2 linked regions of the Stegostoma tigrinum genome follow. The protein of the gene in region 1 purifies or fractionates together with the protein of each later gene. This does not show direct contact. Links are inferred from orthologs where the notes say so. Each region holds a gene or a part of one and is shown in the gene's direction. Other genes may lie near its edges.

The links.
Region 2: the proteins of vps41 (region 1) and vps33a purify together in Homo sapiens (affinity purification with mass spectrometry; 5 studies listed by BioGRID and IntAct, counting the BioPlex papers as one, with this or other methods). This does not show direct contact. The link is inferred for Stegostoma tigrinum from reciprocal best matches to the Homo sapiens genes VPS41 and VPS33A.

Annotation. Positions count from the first base shown.
Region 1 is NC_081358.1:10,708,064-10,717,352, forward strand, and holds the start of vps41 (vacuolar protein sorting-associated protein 41 homolog), read left to right. Parts: upstream 1-5,589; 5' UTR 5,590-5,644; coding exon 5,645-5,662; intron 5,663-9,289. UniProt on the Homo sapiens protein: Plays a role in vesicle-mediated protein trafficking to lysosomal compartments including the endocytic membrane transport and autophagic pathways. Acts as a component of the HOPS endosomal tethering complex.
Region 2 is NC_081379.1:25,834,588-25,843,984, reverse strand, and holds the start of vps33a (vacuolar protein sorting-associated protein 33A), read left to right. Parts: upstream 1-4,963; coding exon 4,964-5,080; intron 5,081-7,999; coding exon 8,000-8,065; intron 8,066-9,397.

The DNA of each region.
Region 1 (9,289 bases):
ATAGGATCAATTATGACTCCACTCCATTGTGGTGTTTTGGGTTTGGAGGTGACTAAACAGCCCAATGCTAGAGACACAAACCATGCCAGAGACAATAAAATGTGAGGCTGGATGAACACAGCAGGCCCAGCAGCATCTCAGGAGCACAAAAGCTGACGTTTCGCGCCTAGACCCTTCATCAGCTCTGATGAAGGGTCTAGGCCCGAAACGTCAGCTTTTGTGCTCCTGAGATGCTGCTGGGCCTGCTGTGTTCATCCAGCCTCACATTTTATTATCTTGGATTCTCCAGCATCTGCAGTTCCCCTTATCACATCCATGCCAGAGACAGATTGTTCAGGTTTTGTTGCATTCCTTCCACTGTTTGTGCTTGATCTTTATCTACTCCCCTCAAAGAGTCTCAATTTTTTTTCCCCTTTATTCATTCACGGGATAAGGGCTTCGCTGAGCAGGCAGCATTTATTGCCCATCCCTAATTGCCCAGAAAACAGTTAAGAGTCAACCACATTGCTGAGGGTCTGGAGTCACATGTAGGCCAGACCAGGTAAGGATGGCAGTTTCCTTCCGTTAAGGACATTAATGAGCCAGTTGCGTTTTTCCAACAATTGGCAATGGATTTACAGATATCCTAGGCTCTTAATTCCAGATATTAACTGAATTCAAATTCCACCACCTGCTGTGGTGGGATTCGAGCCCAGGCATCCAGAACATTACCTGGGTCTCTGGATTGACAGTCTCATAATAATAGCATTTAGCCATTGTCTCCCCGACGGTAAGTAAGCTCGTTTATGGATGAATCTTCTCCAACTTGGTCTTAAGTTAGAGATTCCTGTGTTGTTGGGGACATTGCATTTTTCAGTTGAATTTGAGGATGCCTTCAAAGCTTTTCATCTGCTCACTTAGTAATTGTTTGCTGTGATGAGGTTTTGAGTTAGGAGATTGCTTTGGAAGTCTTCTGTCAGACATGCAGGCAACATGGCCTGTCCAATACAGCTGGTTGATCAAAACTAATGCCCCATCCTGAGGATGTTCACTGGAAGAGATCACGGATATTGGAGCACATATTTTGCCAGTGAATGTACAAGATACTTTGTGGCAGTTATGCACACTTACACACAAATGCACACCCTCATACTCACATGTTCACACTCACAATCATACACAAATCACACAGTCACACACCCAAACCCGCACCTTCACACTTCAACACAACTGGCACATATCATGTTCTCATGCACATCACACTCATACACCCCAACACACATACACAGCACATATATAAGCACTTTCATAGACACCTTTGCACTGTCATACCAAAATACAGTCTGAGAAACCCAAAATGCTTCCACTTTGATATACAGCCAAGCACACCTTTACATTTCTACACATCCTCACATGCATGAACACCCATGCACTAACAGATTTACTAACAGACTAAGGAATATTTGACACACTCAGATGCACATTCAAAAACCACATCTATACACACACATGCTTCTTGCATTCCCAAACTTGCTATCAGCAATGGCTGAAGGTACAACATGTAGCGAAGGCTCCAGGTATTGACAGTAATACCAAAGACTTGTACTCTATAATTAGCCACATAACTAATCAGTTTAATCTAGTGCAGTTGCAACAATGGCATCATCCTGACAATAAGGAAAATTACCCAGAATTATAATGTCCTCAAAAATCAGAACAAACCTAACCCAGTCAATTACAACCCTATCAGTCTGTTCTTGATCATCAGCAAAGGGATAGAAAGTGTCATCAATGGTAGCAGCAAACAGCACTTGCAAAGCAAGAACCAACACTGTCAATATCCTTTTAGCCTCCACTAATTCCTCTCAGATCCTGACATCATTAGTCTCGGTTGAAACACAGATGAAGAGCTGAATTGAACAAGTGACATGAATGTGACTGCCCTTGGCATCCAGACAGTATTTGTGTGAGTGGGGCATCAACAATTCCGGCAAAGTTTAAATGAATAGGAATCAGGAAGAGAACCACACACAGACTGGAGTCATAACCAGCACAAATAAAAATGGTTGTTATAGCCTTTGAGCAGAACATTGCAGGTGTTGCTCAGAGTGGTAACTTACTTATTTTTTATTCATTTATCTGACATGGGCTGCCCTGGCTGGGCCAACATTTATTGCCCATCCTGGGTTCCTTCAAGAAGATAGTGGTGAGCTGCCTTCATGGGCTGCTACAGTCCATTTGGTGGAGGTCCAAAGTGCTGGAAGGAGAGAGTTCCAGGATTTTGACCCAATGACACGAAAGTATCGGCAGTATCTTTCCTAGTCTGAAGTAGCCTGCAGGGGAACTTGGAAGATGGTGGTGTATCCATTTTTCTGCTCCCTTGTTCTTCTCAATGGTAGGCTTGACAGATGCTTAACCCATCATTTTCAGCTTCATTTTCAATGGCTTTCCTTCCATCATAAAGTCAGAGGGAAGGTTGTATATTGAAGATTGCAAAATGTTCAGCATCATTAGCAACTCTTCAGGTACTGTAGATGTCCATGCCTGAATGTAAAACAACTGAATGCAAGAAGTGATAAGCATTGTCCACTTTACACAAGTGCCAGGCAATGACTAATTCCAACAGCAGAGAATCTAACTATCTCTCCATGACTCTCAATGGCATTAGTGTAGCCGAATCCCCTCCGAACAGTATTCCAGTTGTTATCATAGATGAGAAAATAAACTGAACGAACCATATAAATACAGGAATTACAACAGCAAATCAGAGATTAGGAATCCTGCAGAAAGTAACTCATTTTCTCTCTCCCCAATGTCTATCAATCATCTACAAGGTACAAGTCAGCCATATGATAGGATACTTTCCATGGGGGCTGTTGTTGTGCAGTAGTAGTGTCCCTAACTTTAAGACAGAAGACTGGGGTTTAAGGGATACCTGTTTCAGAGGTGTATCATAACATGACTGAAGCGGTTGTTTTAAAAACATCTCTTGTGATGCAGTGGTAGTATGTGTACTTCTGAGCCAGGAGGCCAAGTTGAAGTCTCAAATGCCTTAGAGGTGTGTAGTAACATCTCTGAAAAGGCTGATTACATAATATCTAGAACACTCTCCACTCAACTGAATAAGTGCTGCTCAAGAAGCTAAAAACATTTTTTTGGGTCTTTTCTTTAATAAAGGTCTGAAAATCAATTTGAGCAGTGAACTAAAGATTTTTTTTCCAAGAAAGCATGTGACTGAAATTAATTGACTCAATCAGCTACCCGGGAAATCAATTGCTGAATGTTTACAAAGTTGAACTTGTATGACATACTGAAAAACAGATGACCAGAGTCCATTTATTAGTCGAGTTCAGAAGAAAAATTTCCCAAATGGAGTACTGGTTGTTTTATAGAAATCTCTAGACTATGAGAGGTTAGTTTGAATCAGTCTCCAAGCTGTGAGAGTTGGTAGAAATCTCTAAGTTGTTAGAATCAGAAGGAAACATCTGAGCCATCGCAGCTAGAAAGAAGTCTTTAATTGCTTTAGCAGTCCAAGGAGCAGAACTGGAAAGAATGATTCAAGTTAAAGAGTTAACATAGTAATTATAATTCAAGGGTTTACATGGCTGTAAAAGATATCGCTGGGAAACAGTTGAATTTTTGTATTTTTGCTGTTTATGATAGATTTTCTAAATTATCACATGTTCATACTTTTTTTCCTTTTGTATGATAAACATTTTTACCTTTTTTAGATGGACATTTCAGCCTTGCTCGTATCAATAAGTGATCGCCACAGTAGCCAAACTACAGAAGTAAAACTGACATTCTAACAAGCCAGGTTTCACTCTGAGATCTGGTTTGTCCATCTTTACCTTCAGCAGGGATCATAATACATATTATGACTTGATACAGCTAACCAAATGTTTGGTCATATAATTGGATTTTAAAGAATGTCTTAAAGGAGCTAGAAGTGTTGAAGTGGCAGTCAGGTAACCAACCGAATCAGGTTTTCAATGAACAATAACAAAGTTGCTGGAAAAGCTCAGCAGGTCTGGTAGCATCTGCAAATGAAAAAAACAGAGTAAATGGTTTGGGTCCGGTGGCCGTTCCTCAGAATTGGATTTTCCAGGACCATCTTATATTGGAGGTCTAAGCTCTAAACAATCTCTAGCCAGGATGCTGTTGTCCTCTAACCTTGTGATTTAACTCTTGTGTAGCCTCCGTAAGTCTTCCACTTACATATGCACTGTGATGGTCCACTCTGACAAGTTCAGAAAAAACCTAGAAGGTAGGATCAAAAGTAGGCCATTCAACCCATCGAATCTGCTCAATCCCATCAATTTCTCCATCAACATTTCTCTACTGATAAAGATATGCTTCAGTGCATCTGTCTCATTAAATCTCGTACTCCTGATCATTTACGATACATTATTTGTGTTCTCTTTAGTGAAAACAGAAACGAAGTATGAACTTTGCTGGTCAGCCATTTCTCTGTTCCCCATTATAAATTCCCCCATTTCTGACAGAAAAGGACTCTCATCAACTGCCAACTTTTACAGGTTCTGCAGCACATATAAACTCAGACCATCAGATGCCAAATGTTTTTAGTCTAGTGTGTAAAAGTTAGTTACCCTAATGGAGAGGTTGACAGTTGGAATTCCAGAGTTTAAGACTTGGATACTTAAAGGCACAACTGGTGGTGGCACTAAAAATGGAGATGCACAGATGATTACAGTTGGATGAATATTAAGCACTCAGAGACTTGTAGGGATGGATGAGAATTTTAAAATCAAAGCACTGCTGGACGAGGAATCAATATAAACTCTGAGACTGAAGGGATGGCTCATTGGTAATTGGGCAAGCGAGAATTTTGAATCCATTCAGATCAAGACACAATGGACAAAGAAACAAATATGAACTAACGGAGTCAGCAGAGACTTGATGACAGCAAGTATAGCGAACATTGTCAAGACTCTGAGAACCTAACTAAAGTGATAGATAAGGGAGTCTATAACTATTCGTGCAGATTTCCAGAAGACCGTTGATAAGGTTTCACATGTGAGACTGTTAACACAAATAAGAGTGAATGGAATTGAAAGTGCCCACAGTAATCAATTGTTTTGCATTTGGTGAAGAATCTGTCTTCTATTAATGTTCATTGTGCTTGATTAGTCAAGCCTGGATGCAGATCCAGAAGATGAACAAAGCTGCCGTAAGTTGTCAAAAGCTTGAGCTGTAAGCATGGAACAAACATGAAGCTCTGTAAATCAAACCTCTTGCACACATTGAAAATCGTGTGTTATCTTTACATAACTCTGAGGCACATAAAATTGACAACATACCTATTCAGAGGATAGGGAATAAGGCAGAAGATAGAAAAGAGATTAGGAAATAATAGGTACGCACTCAAATTGCAGGATGATGTCTTTGGGCTGTCCTGTCGAATATTCAGTGAGTGAAGTGGATATTGGGGATGTTCTCTGGTGACTGAACTTCAACATTACAGAGCGCAAGGGAAGAGAAACGTCCCGAATTCGGAACCAAGTCTCTTTAAACCCCTCCGTCCTCTCTGACAGGCTTTGCCAAACTGGACTACAACTCCCAGCGGCCTCGGCGGCAGCCGCCGCGCAGGCGCTGTCTGCCGGTCTCCCTCAGTCCTGACAGGACCCTGGGAGCTCGGAGCAACATGGCGGAAGTGGAGCGGGTAAATACAGGAGGGTAGGGGATCTCCGTGTTAATGGCCACTCTGTGTATTTTCATGGGGCAGCTTCTCAGAGGAGTGACAGTGAGCATGAGCCGAGCTGTACTCCCTATCGTCCTCAGGATATTGTCAGATTGTGGGAGTTGTCTATGTCTCTGTCTAAAATCCCACAACATTACTGAAGGACTGGTTTCGTTGAGCTTTCCGCTTCAGTCTGTTCTTATTGTCATTTCTAAATATGCAATGTGCAGGGATTGCCTTCGCTTCAACAAATACATATTCGAAAGCAAGTGTAAGAGTGCACATTGTTGCTACACTGTTCTTTCAAGGATTGTTTAGTGAATGTGCTCAGGGCTGAGCTGAAGTTTCATAGCTGTCTAATATTAGTGTCCCTGCTATATCTCGTGGCTTAAGAGACTGCTGGACCTGCATATGGTCACAGAAATTTGAGGGTGCATACGTGAGGATCAATGGTCGGCACAACATTGTGGGACGAAGGGCATGTTCTGTGCTGTACTGTTCTATGTTCTATGATGCCCCTCTGCTGTTAATCTCTTATTCATTTCCGATTTTAGTTGCTGCATTATTGGCAGCCTTGCCTTCAGCCACCAAGGCCCAATACTTTGCAGCCTCTTCCTTAAACTTTTCCACCTCTTTACGTCTGTTTTCTTCTCAATCTGCCTTTGGTCAGCTGTTTTCCGCTGAATCTTCTGATGGCTGAATTGCATTTAATTTGATCATGCTGCTTTGAAGCGCATGGTTTTTTTGTGCAACAAGGGGGACATGTAAATGTAAAAGTGGGACATCTGCCACCGACAATCGTTTAATGAAGCAGGGGGTGGGGATGGCTGGTTCCTTCTGTTTGAATTTTGTACAGACTATGAAGTGTTCTACTATTAAATGGGAATGTTTATTCAAATGATTTTTTTTTGAAGTCACATTGCCGCCTGACTGAGAAACAGTTTTCCAGTAGATTGCTGGTACTCAAGAATGTCCAGAATGTCCTCTTTTCCTAACCTAGCAGATTTGTTTGGATTAGGGAGTGAATTCAGAGGTACACAACATGCTGTCGAATTTCAATGAATGTTTAAAAGCCTGGTGACCCATGTAGGTAATCAATGAACTAGAAGGAGCAAACATGCAATAATCCTTTCTGATTCATACAATTCTGGTCGCCCTCCTACAGGAAGGATGTTGTTAAACTATGAAAGGTGCAGGAAAGATTTACAAGGATGTTGCTGATACTGCAGTGTTTGGGTTATAAGGAGAGGCTGAGACTATTTTCCCCTGGAGTGTTGGAGGATGAGGGGTGACCTTTTGAGATATATAAAATTATGAGGCCATAGATAAGAGGAATAGCTGGAGTTTTTTCCAAGGGTAGGGGAGTCCAAAACTAGAGGGCATAAATATAAGGCGAGGGGGAAATATTTAAAAGGGACCTGAGGGTGATCTGTATTTGGAACGAGATGCTAGTGTTAGAGGTGGGTATAATTACAACATTTAAAAGACAGAGACATGAATAGGAAAGATTTAAAGGGATATGGACCAAACAGTGGCAAATGGGGCTAGTTGAGTTTCGGGAACCTGGTCAGCATGGATAAGTTGGACTGAAGGATCAGTTTCCATGCTGTATGACTCTATGTACCAGGACAGCAAGCTAAGAGGCCAGAGGATTCAGGACTTCTGAAGAACATATTTACAGTAGATATTGAGGTATTTAGTTTGAGGATAATCAAGCTTCTATAAGCAACTGAGGCCAAGACACTGATCTCTTTTTGATGAGGAAACTGTTTAGGCTGTTGTGAAGATGGAGTTAATATCCTATAGGGATAACAAGCTGTGGAGCTGGTTGAACACAGCAGGCCAAGCAGCATCTTAGGAGCACAAAAGCTGACGGTTCGGGCCTAGACCCTTCAGACTCGGATTCTCCAGCATCTGCAGTTCCCATTATGTCTAATATCCTACAAGGATAGGTTTGAATTGGATCATGTGAGGGCTGTTTTTTTATTAATGTTTATCATGCATTAAACAATCTTTTGGGAGTAGGAATCTTGTCAATATGAAACTTTTACAGTGTCATGTAAAGGTTTTGTTTCTAGCCAAAATTAAAACTCAATGTGTCAACATAAAGATCAGCCATCCAAGCCCTTGCCTAAGGCTCAAACAGACCACCCACTTTAACCTCTTATGAGAAGTGATACTACATTCGAGGCATTAAATGCATGATTTGGAATTTGAAAAACAAAACCTGCTAGAAAGGCAGTTCGGTTTTTGTTTCTGATTTCCAGCATACACAGTTCTTTCAGTTTTTATTTGGCTCATTATAAAGTTTGCAAGAAAGTGGATGCTACATTTACTATATTTCAAGGTGCCATTCAACTATATTTCTTCTTTACTAGGCAAACCAAATTATAAGTGCTCCTCAATTTGGTACAGCCATTGTGTAATTATATAAAATGTGTTTAATTGCAGAAATAAGATGTTATAGTAACACATTATAGAGCTTTCTCTTTTAGCGCTGATATGGTTTATGTCAGTATCAGTTGACTACGTCCAGAATTTTCTGAATTCATTTATCTAATAGGACAGCAGTATCAATGAGCTGAGAATTTGAGTTAATATTTTTGGTCTTCTGACCTGTCATCAAATCTCAACTCAACTAATAAAATCTTTGGCTATGTAAGTAATCCCTGGTTGTATTTGCAATGTGAATGTCTGGCCTAATTTGCCAAATATGTCACCATTTTATAAATTGCTAAAGTCAGCAAGTTCCACAACACAACTTTGTTAATCACCTGGGAAATCTGTCTCGGGAAATCTGTCTCTCGAAATTTCTGTGACAGTTGCAGCCTTAGTTTTAGGCATGTGCTGTTTTAAAAATGTGTAAATAATTGTGATATTTTACAGGCAATTCCTCTTGGTTCGAAATATCTCTTATTTCAACATTAAATCTCCCAAACCACCTCCACCGTGTCATGTTTGTGTCAAATCATGGGTTCTGCAGATGTGATGTGAATTTTTTTATTTTTATCATTGGACTGTATCATGATTGTATATATTTCCTCTTTGAGGAGTTAAGTTACTTAATTTAACAGAAACTATACTTCCGAATCTCATAGTTTTCACCAAAATATCCAAGATGTTTTGCGTTTATTGTCTGACATGAAGTGTCCTGTAAATGAAGAATTTTTATGACCGCTCTTTCTATCAAACATAGAGTCCTTGAATGTTCCAGAACAGAATTAGACTATTGAGCTTTAAATTTGTCATTTTTTTTCTTTCATATGAGCCAGTTGGACTAATCCAACTCCTTTCTCACTCCCAGCTTATTTTAATATTTCCATCGTCAAACAAATACATAACGAATTATAAAAAGGGATTCTGTGCCAATTTTGGAATGTAGCAATGAATTCTGTATTAGCTTCATTTTGCTTCTCCAAGAGGTGACATGCTGCTCTGTGTGTGTATATAAAGGATCTGGGGTTGGGAGATGCTGCTGGTGTAAAGTGCTGGCTAGGGAGAATGGGTTTAATGGAATCTACACATTGACATTAGGGTTTTATAAGCTTCACTTTTTCTATCCTTTTTGGTGCTGTATGTTCAAATCGCCACATGTAGAGATGCAATTTT
Region 2 (9,397 bases), on another chromosome or scaffold:
TTAAGACTATAGGCACTCCCCAATGTTGAGGAACCGATGTTAAGTTGAAGAGTTGAGGATCTTTTATAGGGGACTGTCAACAAACCTGGGGGGACGGAGTGGATGTGGATGTCAGAAAGTCAAGGCAAAATTCAGGCACGTGAATGGGGATTGTGTTTGATGGAGCCTATGAACATGCAGATGTGGTCTTCCCTCGGCTACGTGGCTAAAGTTGTTTGGTTTCTGGTATATATGAGCCTACCCTTCCGCAAGCAAAATACCAGATGAGACAGGGTAAAGCCCTGCAGTGGCCTTCAAACCTGCTAATAGATTGTGTAAACAGTTGCCTAGAGTGAATTCATATTATTATCCTCTTTAAAGTGTCGATAAATTTCCTATTGTGTAGAACTTTATTGGACACTACCACCCACACAAACACAAGCAACAGGCGGGAGTAACCCACTTGTTCTTATCCCCGCTTGCAAGTACCACATTTTTAATTACTTTATTTTTGGACTTTTTAAAAGTACTGTTTTAAGCCACAGAGACTGTGCAAAGCAATGGCTGTGATTTTAAAACTCGTTTACTGGAGTACAATGTGAGTTATATACAATATTGTTTTCCCCTGATTCAAGAGAAAGCAGGCACCACAGAGTCAGAACCAGGATGACAATTGCTTGACAATATTTTGATTGGCTGTTATTGAGGTGGCCTTGGCTCGTGCAGGGACAGGGCAGCAGAGAATCCTCCACCCTGCAAAGAGGTGAAAAGAAATCTGTCTCTCTTGTTCTGGAGGTACCAGAAAGTCTCCAGTAACACTTGCTGCCTTCCATTCAGCTTGCTCTGCAAACCCTCTGTTGAAGGATGAATAAAAATCTATCAAAAAGTGAAAGGGCAAATTCTCGATCTGCAAATGAAAAATCGTATCAGCATGCAAACAACAGTGATTCATCAGCAAAGAAGTAAAATGAATCAGAAGAAACTGAAATAAACAATTCATTCCTTGTGATTTAGACACTATTGAATTGTGTTTCCCTGACATTATTTATCGTTTCCCAGCCTTAAAGCCCATGTTGTCTGTCTGTTTGTGATGGGGATGGGAAATTTAAAACAGCTAGAGTTTACATTAAAGTGTAATAAGTTAGCAATTCACAATTTTAATTTCCCTTGTTTAAAGCCAATTTGTTTATTAATAAACAAGTTTCTTTTGTGAGGTACATAAACCAAGCAAGCGCTTTCTTTTGACTTGCGTTCATCAGTCAGGTAATTTGGGAGCTTTGAATAGTTTGACTGAATCTTTTCATATTTGTAATAAGTCCAGGATTAGTGGGACTTGGTTTGTAGTAGAAGAAGCCAGTCTCTCTCTGAAGTGCATTGACTTGAGAGCTAGGCTACCTCAATACAATTGTACTCTCTCATGCAGAAGAAATCACTGTGCAACTAAGTGAGATAGTTTTTGTTTTCTTAATTCAAGATTTGAATACAAATTTTGAGTGCTATTATACCATGAAGCCACCGGGTCTGAGACCATTTTGGTTCTAATGCTGAAGATGTATACCAAAAGTTTCAGACAAATTTCATTATGGCTATGTTACTGGAATTTATCTAGTCATGTTGCCTAGGCATGTCCTCTGTACAAACAAAGGACAACTCTGACTGGCTGCTACTTTATCCATTTACTTCTCATCAGAAGTGAAGTAATGGTCAGAGTCATCAGATAATGCCAACCCATCAATAGCCTTCTCATCAACACTCAGTTTGCAAAACCAATAGATTCCACACTTAATCACAAAGTCTTAACATGTTGCAGGGATGAGGACAAATATCTTAGTTTCTCCAGCTACTGTGCATACTGTGACATTTAATGTAAAAGCAAACAGGGCATTTTGTATTCTGCCTGTCATGGTCTGCTGTAGGTTGCAGAGAGACATCGATAAGCTGCAGAGCTGGGCTGAGAGGTGGCAAATGGAGTTTAATGCAGACAAATGTGAGGTGATGCACTTTGGTAGGAGTAACCGGAAGGCAAAGTACAGGGCTAATGGTAAGATTCTGAGTAGTGTAGATGAGCACAGAGATCTCAGTGTCCATGTGCAGAGATCCTTGAAAGTTGCCACCCAGGTTGACAGGGCTGTTAAGAAGGCATACAGTGTTTTAGCTTTTATTAATAGAGGGATTGAATTCCGGAACCAAGAGGTTATGCTGCAGCTGTACAAAACTCTGGTGCGGCCGCATTTGTGGAGTATTGTGTACAGTTCTGGTCACTATTATAAGAAGGATGTGGAAGCTTTGGAAAGGGCGCAGAGGAGATTTACTAGGATGTTGCCTGGTATGGAGGGCAGGTCTTACGAGGAAAGGCTGAGTGACTTGAGGCTGTTTTCGTTAGAGAGAAGAAGGTTGAGAGGTGACTTAATTAAAACATATAAAATAATCAGGGATTAGATAGGGTGGATAGGGAGAGCCTTTTTCCTAGGATGGTGACGGCGAGCACGAGGGGGCATAGCTTTAAATTGAGGGGTGAAAGATATAGGACAGATGTCAGAGGTAATTTCTTTACTCAGAGAGTAGTAAGGGAATGGAACACTTTGCCTGCAACAGTAGTAGATTCGCCAACTTTAGGTACATTTAAGTCGTCATTGGACAAGCATATGGACGTACATGGAATAGTGTAGGTTAGATGGGCTTGAGATCGGTATGACAGGTCAGCGCAACATCGAGGGCCAAAGGGCCTGTACTGTGCTGTAATGTTCTATGTTCTATGGTCTTAAGACATTTCAATTTGCTTTATAGACAAAACTGTAATGGCGAAGCGCAATCTCAGTTGTACTGTAGGAGATGTAGGTTAATGATTTCAAAATATTTCCACAGTTGTTTACATAGAATCATTTTTATAACATTTTTATTTCATGTTGATAGTGCTGTTAAGAAGGCTTACGGTGTGTTAGGTTTTATTGGTAGAGGGATTGAGTTCCGGAACCATGATGTCATGCTGCAACTGTACAAAATGTTAGTGCAGCCTCACCTGGAATATTGCATGCAGTTCTGTTTGCCCAATTACAGGAAAGATGTGGAAGCATTGGAAAAGGTGCAGAGGAGATTTACCAGGATGTTGCCTGGTCTGGAGCAAAGGCCTTATGAAGAAAGGCTGAGGGACTTGGGTCTGTTCTCATTGGAGAGAAGAAGGCTAAGAGGCGATTTAATAGAGACATACAAGATGATCAGAGGATTAGATAGGGTGGACAGTGAGAGTCTTTTTCCGAGTTTGATGACATCAGCTTGTACGAGGGGGCATAGCTACAAATTGAGGGGTGATACATATAAGACAAATGTCAGAGGCAGGTTCTTTACTCAGAGAGTGGTAAGGGCGTGGAACGCCCTGCTTGCCAATATAGTTAACTCAGCCACATTAGGGGCATTTAAACAGTCCTTGGATAGGCATATGGATGATGATGGGATAAGCGTAGGGGGATGGGCTTAGATTAGCTCACAGGTCAGCGCAACATCGAGGGCCAAAGGGCCTGTTCTGCACTGTATTGTTCTATGTTCTATGTAACATCGGGAACACCTTATACCTTCTTGTGCATTCCAGCTTTAGTCTCCCCAAAGTATGCTGGTTAAGTTCATGGGCTGCAATAACTACTTTCAGCGAGATTTTCACTTCTCTTCAAATGAGGTTAGAGTATCTACTCCCAGGTTGTGTACCCACTCATGTGACACTAACATGCACTATGTCACATCATATATGTTTCAGATGTTAACCTCATCCATCTCAACTACAGAAAGTTTTGAGATGATGGGAACTGCAGATGCTGGAGAATCCAAGATAACAAAATGTGGAGCTGGATGAACACAGCAGGCCAAGCAGCATCTTAGGAGCACAAAAGCTGACGTTTCGGGCCAAAACCCTTCATCAGAGAGCTGAAGGGTCTAGGACCGAAACGTCAGCTTTTGTGCTCCTAAGATGCTGCTTGGCCTGCTGTGTTCATCCAGCTCCACACTTTGTTGTCTTATACAGAAAGTTTCTCCAATTTTCCCTTAAACATAAGTTTACATTTCTATGCTGCATCAACAGAAAATGAGTATTGGGAAGATTCACAACTTTGTGGGAGAGGGGAGCCAGTGACTGACAACAGGGACTCATTTGGAGCTGGAGTTGGGTTTTGAGTCAAGAGAGTTCTTTTTTATTTATTTGTTTATTTGTGAGTTTTGGGTAGTATATTTCTGCCCGTCCTGGCTTACAATAATTCAATTTAATTATTTACCAACCTAGTCTTTTAGCATACAGTACAGTTGTCAGAAAAAAGTAAACTGAAAGCTGTCACTCAGCACTCCAAGTATAATTGTAGATTGAGTTCTAATAGCATCAAATTTTTTTCTTGTGTTACTGTCAAAGACCTAGGGCTGTCTTATTAGATTTGCTGTTATTTCACTGTTGTCGTGCCGTGAATGCCACTAACTTAGTCAAAAATGCAGAATAAAATCACGCAACAGCAGGAAGGCAGCAAGATCCAAAAGAGGTGACTGCCTTGATTCTAAATGCCATCTGCCTGGTCTTCACTGGACAGGGGGAGTTTGGTTTGTTCGAGTTCCTTAAATTCCCATGTATTATCAAAACATAAAACTTGAATTTGTTTAGTGATGGTTGCACTGACACTTCAATTTAATTTTAAGCTTCTCTTCCCAAATGAATTGTGTGAGATTTTGGGATGGGGACGTTTGTCGTGATGTTGTGACTCAGATAACTGGAATGGAACCAAAATTAGTCCTCAATTTTAAATAGCGTTTATGCAAAAAGCAACACTGTTGAGTTAGTATTTTACATGCGTTCCCTGTGTAGTAACAGGTATATACAGCGTTCGTTAGTTATTGGTGAATTGAGTTAGATTGACCGAGACCTCAGTACATAAGCGCAGCAACTCCAACAGAACACGGTTACACGCCCGTGATGGACAGCTCAGGTCACGTGGGGCGGTGCCCGCCGTGTCACATGACCCGGCTCAAGATGGCAGCGCACCTCAGTTACGGAAGAGTGGTTCTTAACAACTTGCGAGAGGCGGCCCGCAAGGAGCTGCGCGAATTTCTGGATAAATGTGAAGGCAGCAAGGTCTGGGGGGGGGGGAGGATTTAGAGTGCTCGATACTCGCGGGAGCAGTCCGATTCCTGAAAACTCAGTTCTCCGGACCCCTCCCCCTCGGGATAAAGGATAGGTCGGCCCTGTCCAAAATTGAACCCTTCCCGGAGAGGAGGATAGCTCCCTTGGCCCATCTCAACTCCCGGCGTAGGGGGCCCTTCCAAGCATTAACTGCTCTGGGGCAAGGTGGTCCTTTCCAAAATTAACCCCCGAAACCCTGGGGGGAAGAGGACCACCCCAATCCATCTCGGCCCCTGTAATCTTTAGGGGCAAGTGAACCTGTTGCAATATTGAAACCCTCGATCCTGTGTCAATTAATCCTGAGAAATCTGTTAACAGTCTGCTTTATTATGAGAATACTGAACTGAACAATTGCTCAACTTTAGGAAGATGGGTGTGCAACGTTCATGGTGGACACCTATTCATGGAGTAATTAATTTTTCCTAATGTTTTTAAGGATTCTGTTTTTATGAAGCGTTATTGATTTTTTTTTTGACAGAGCACCGTTTTTCTTGTTACGGTTTCCGTTCTTCAGGAAATGAATTTGTAATGTTGTCAAACAGTTGTATTCTTGATCTTTCTTCCCTCCTAAATAAATCCACAAAACAGTTTATATCATAAGCTGATTTATTGGTTGAGTCAGCTTCCTCAAATGTGAAGTAAATAAAAATGCATGATATACATTTGTCACAAGACTAAAATTGACTTTCTCAGAAGTAGAATTAAGAAATTAAGATGCCTTAAAACAAGATTCTGTGTTTGCATTCTTTCACAAAATTTTACTCAATCCTAATGTTTTTGTATATTTCTTTCGTACCACACCACTAGGTTGATCTGTTGATTCTTTTAGCCCTTAGTTTGAAACTTGTGCCTTTTCCCTTCCTTCCTGCTGCCATCCCCATATTTAAAAAGAAGCCAAGTTGGAACCTAAGGTGTAAATGGGAAATATCACTTGATGTAGGAAGAAAAGCAAAGTTATTGCTCCAACTTGCATGGCTGTATGTGTAATAAGTAGAGCATGCTAAAGAAATAGTAGGCTTTAGACCAGTAGCATGGGGAAGTCTATGTTAGGTTGGAAGGCAGGACTGGTAAAGGACATGCAATAATGGTACAAACAGAAGTGAGTGTTAGCGGGACAGTAAATAAGTACAATATGAGATGATGGAGCTGTATATGTCAACAGCAAAACCAATACAGCATCTTCCTAAAAAAATTATGGAGTTGTGCTTATGATATGAAATCATTGAACTCGGGTATTGAATTTAGAAAATTGTAAAGCTGTGAACTGAAAGATGAGAAGCATTGGAACTTTATAGGACAGTATTGGTGGTCCAGGATTGGAAGTTCAAAGTGGGAGGTTTAAAAATGGCAAATGACTGAAAGCTCATGGTGAGGTTTGTAGATTGAATGGAATTTATTGGCAGTCATCTGTTTTTGTATGATTTTTGTTTTGCCATGACATTTCTGCTGTGCTAAAGTTCCAGTATCTGTAAATTGATTTTTTTTTTGTTTTTCTCTAGTTACTGTGTTGCAACACGATATGTTCATTTATGTCACAATGACTTGTTATTAATTTAGTCATGCTCACATTACTTCAGAGCAGCAATAAATTTTGTCAATGGTTCAATTTTAACTGACATCTTTACACCTACAAAGATGATGGATATATTTGTGAAATCTTCGTAAAGTGCTCACCTGATGGGTGGTGTCTGGTTCATTGAATATAGCACTATAAGCTTTCTAAGCCTAAAGAGTCTTTATGTTTTAGTTCAAAAGTGTGAGCAAAGTCATATGGTTTAATATTTAGTATTGCATTATCTCTTTTCCTTTATGCCACTTTCTTAAAATTCTGTTTATTTTGAGTCACAGTTAATCTTTACTGTATTGAATATCAGAACAACCTGTTAACTTTATCTCTTCAGGTAGATAAAAATCTAGTGTAAACACACTTTTTTTGTCTCATCTGATGTTACTTTTAACAAATGTGGCATAATACCTCTTTGTTCAGACAGTAATTATTTTTCTGCAACTGCACGTTAGAATGCTTTCAAATAGTTCAGAAAACAAAGGAGCTGAAATAAGAAATGACACAACGACCCCTTAAGATGTCTCTTTGCTTTTTTGGTTGTTGAGTGGTCTATCACTGTTCTGAAAATCTGGAACATTTCCTGCTACAAGATTCCAAAAATTAGCTTAATGAAGAAGGATGCTGGAACATAGTACAATATGGTATTTTTTGGTATTCTTAAAATATAGTTGTTTCCTTGTGCTTCTCATTCTTTAAACTGGAAATAATGATGAAATAGTTTTTGTGAGAATCATGTGTAAATTGTACAGTTGCCTTATTTGACCTCCTATCCTTAGACTATAAAACTTTGCAATTGTACCAGATGCCCTAGTGTGCAAAGGACAAGAACTCAACATTTTTATCCTGATTTCAGAGGTGTAATGGTCAAAACATTTTTGATACTTCATAATTTTAAACCAAGGCTAATTCACAGTGTTCTTTCAGGGAAAGAATCCTGCTGTCTTAACCTGATCTGGCCTATATCTTAGTCCAGTACTACACCATTGTGGTTAACTTTTCAATGTCCTTTCAAAATGGTCTAGAAAAGCACTTTTTTTTTCATATCACATTCCAAATCGCCTAAGGATGAGCAATAAATGTAAATCTTGCCAGCAATGCCCACGTCCTAATGTCCTGAAATTTTTCAAAATAGGAATGAGTTTACACTTTAAATGTCTGTTTTCTCTACTTCCTAAGTTACTGATAGCTGAATATTGTTGGAGGTGGTTTATCTCAATGCTCCAAGTGAAGGTACAAGACCATTTGAGAATACTGGACCTTGTGACTTTCTGGCATTTGGTTAGCTGTCTGTTTTTCTCACATAGGCAATAGTTTGGGATGAGTATCTTACTGGACCATTTGGATTGATTGCTCAATATTCCCTATTAAAGGTAAATGACTGCTCGTTTGTTTGCTACATTTTGGGCAATTTGAATGACCAATATTGCTATGTCTTTTAAAGTTTTGGCAAAGATCTGTAGCTTGGGTTATGGATGAGGTTGTTGACTTGCTTACCTGGCTAGCTTGTTTTTTGTTCAGACATTTCTCAACATGCTCAGTGACATCATCAGTGGACCCTCCAGTGAGGTGATGTTATTGTACTCCACTCGGAATTTATACAGTCTGGTCCGTTATGATGAGTATTGTCATTTCTGGTTTTGATCTATGTGGGGCCCAATGAAGTAGGAGTGCAGAACCATGTCTCTAGGAATTCCTGTGCGTGGCTATGTTTGGCTTGTGACAAAGTAACCCAAAGTACAGAATTGGACCCCATATACAAACCCATACAGATCAAAACCAACAATGACACTACTCACCATGATGGTGAGTGCTGTATAAATTCAGCAGAGTAGAACACCACTTCACCAGAGACTCCACTGATGATGTCACCTAGCATGGTGACGAAATGTCTGATCAAAATCGAACCGGTGAGCGAGAAAACACCCTCATTGATATGTTTAATGCTAAGAAATAAAATTACATTTTCTTGACTTATTTTCCAAAGAAAATTCATTATCGAGGTAGTTGATTGAGATTGGAAGCTAACCTGTCTTCACTCTATAATATAAGTTTTGCATAGATGACATGTTTTCTACAAAATAAACAATTTGGAATAACTAAGAAATATTCAGCATTGCAGGAACTTATTTTGAAACATAGCTTCAGCAGATTGTATCAGAGATAATGGGAACTGCAGATGCTGGAGAATCTGAGATAATAAAGTGTGGAGCTGGATGAACATAGCCGGCCAAGCAGCATCTTAGGAACAAGAAAGCTGACGATTCGGGCCTGGACCCTTCATCAGAAAAGGGGAATGGGGAGACGGGTCTGAAATAAATAGGGAGAGAGGGGGAGGCGGATCGAAGTTGGATAGAGGCGAAGATAGGTAGAGAGACACAGACAACTTACAAGAGAGTTGCAGTGGAAGAGAGATCCCCTGAGATTCCTCTGGAGGGAGGAGGGTAACTTCTTCAGGTTAGGCCTCCCAGTGAGGTCACACTGCAAAGTCTCTTCCAGAGATGCCTAACCTGAAGAAGTTACCCTCCTCCCTCTGGACAAACCTCGGGATCTCTCTCCCACTGCAACTGTCTTGTAACTTATCTGTCTCCTGTCCACCTATCTTCTCCTCTATCCACCTTTGATCCGCCTCCCCCTCTCTCCCTATTTATTTCAGACCCCTCTCCCCATCCCCCTTTTCTGATGAAGGATCTAGGCCCAAATTG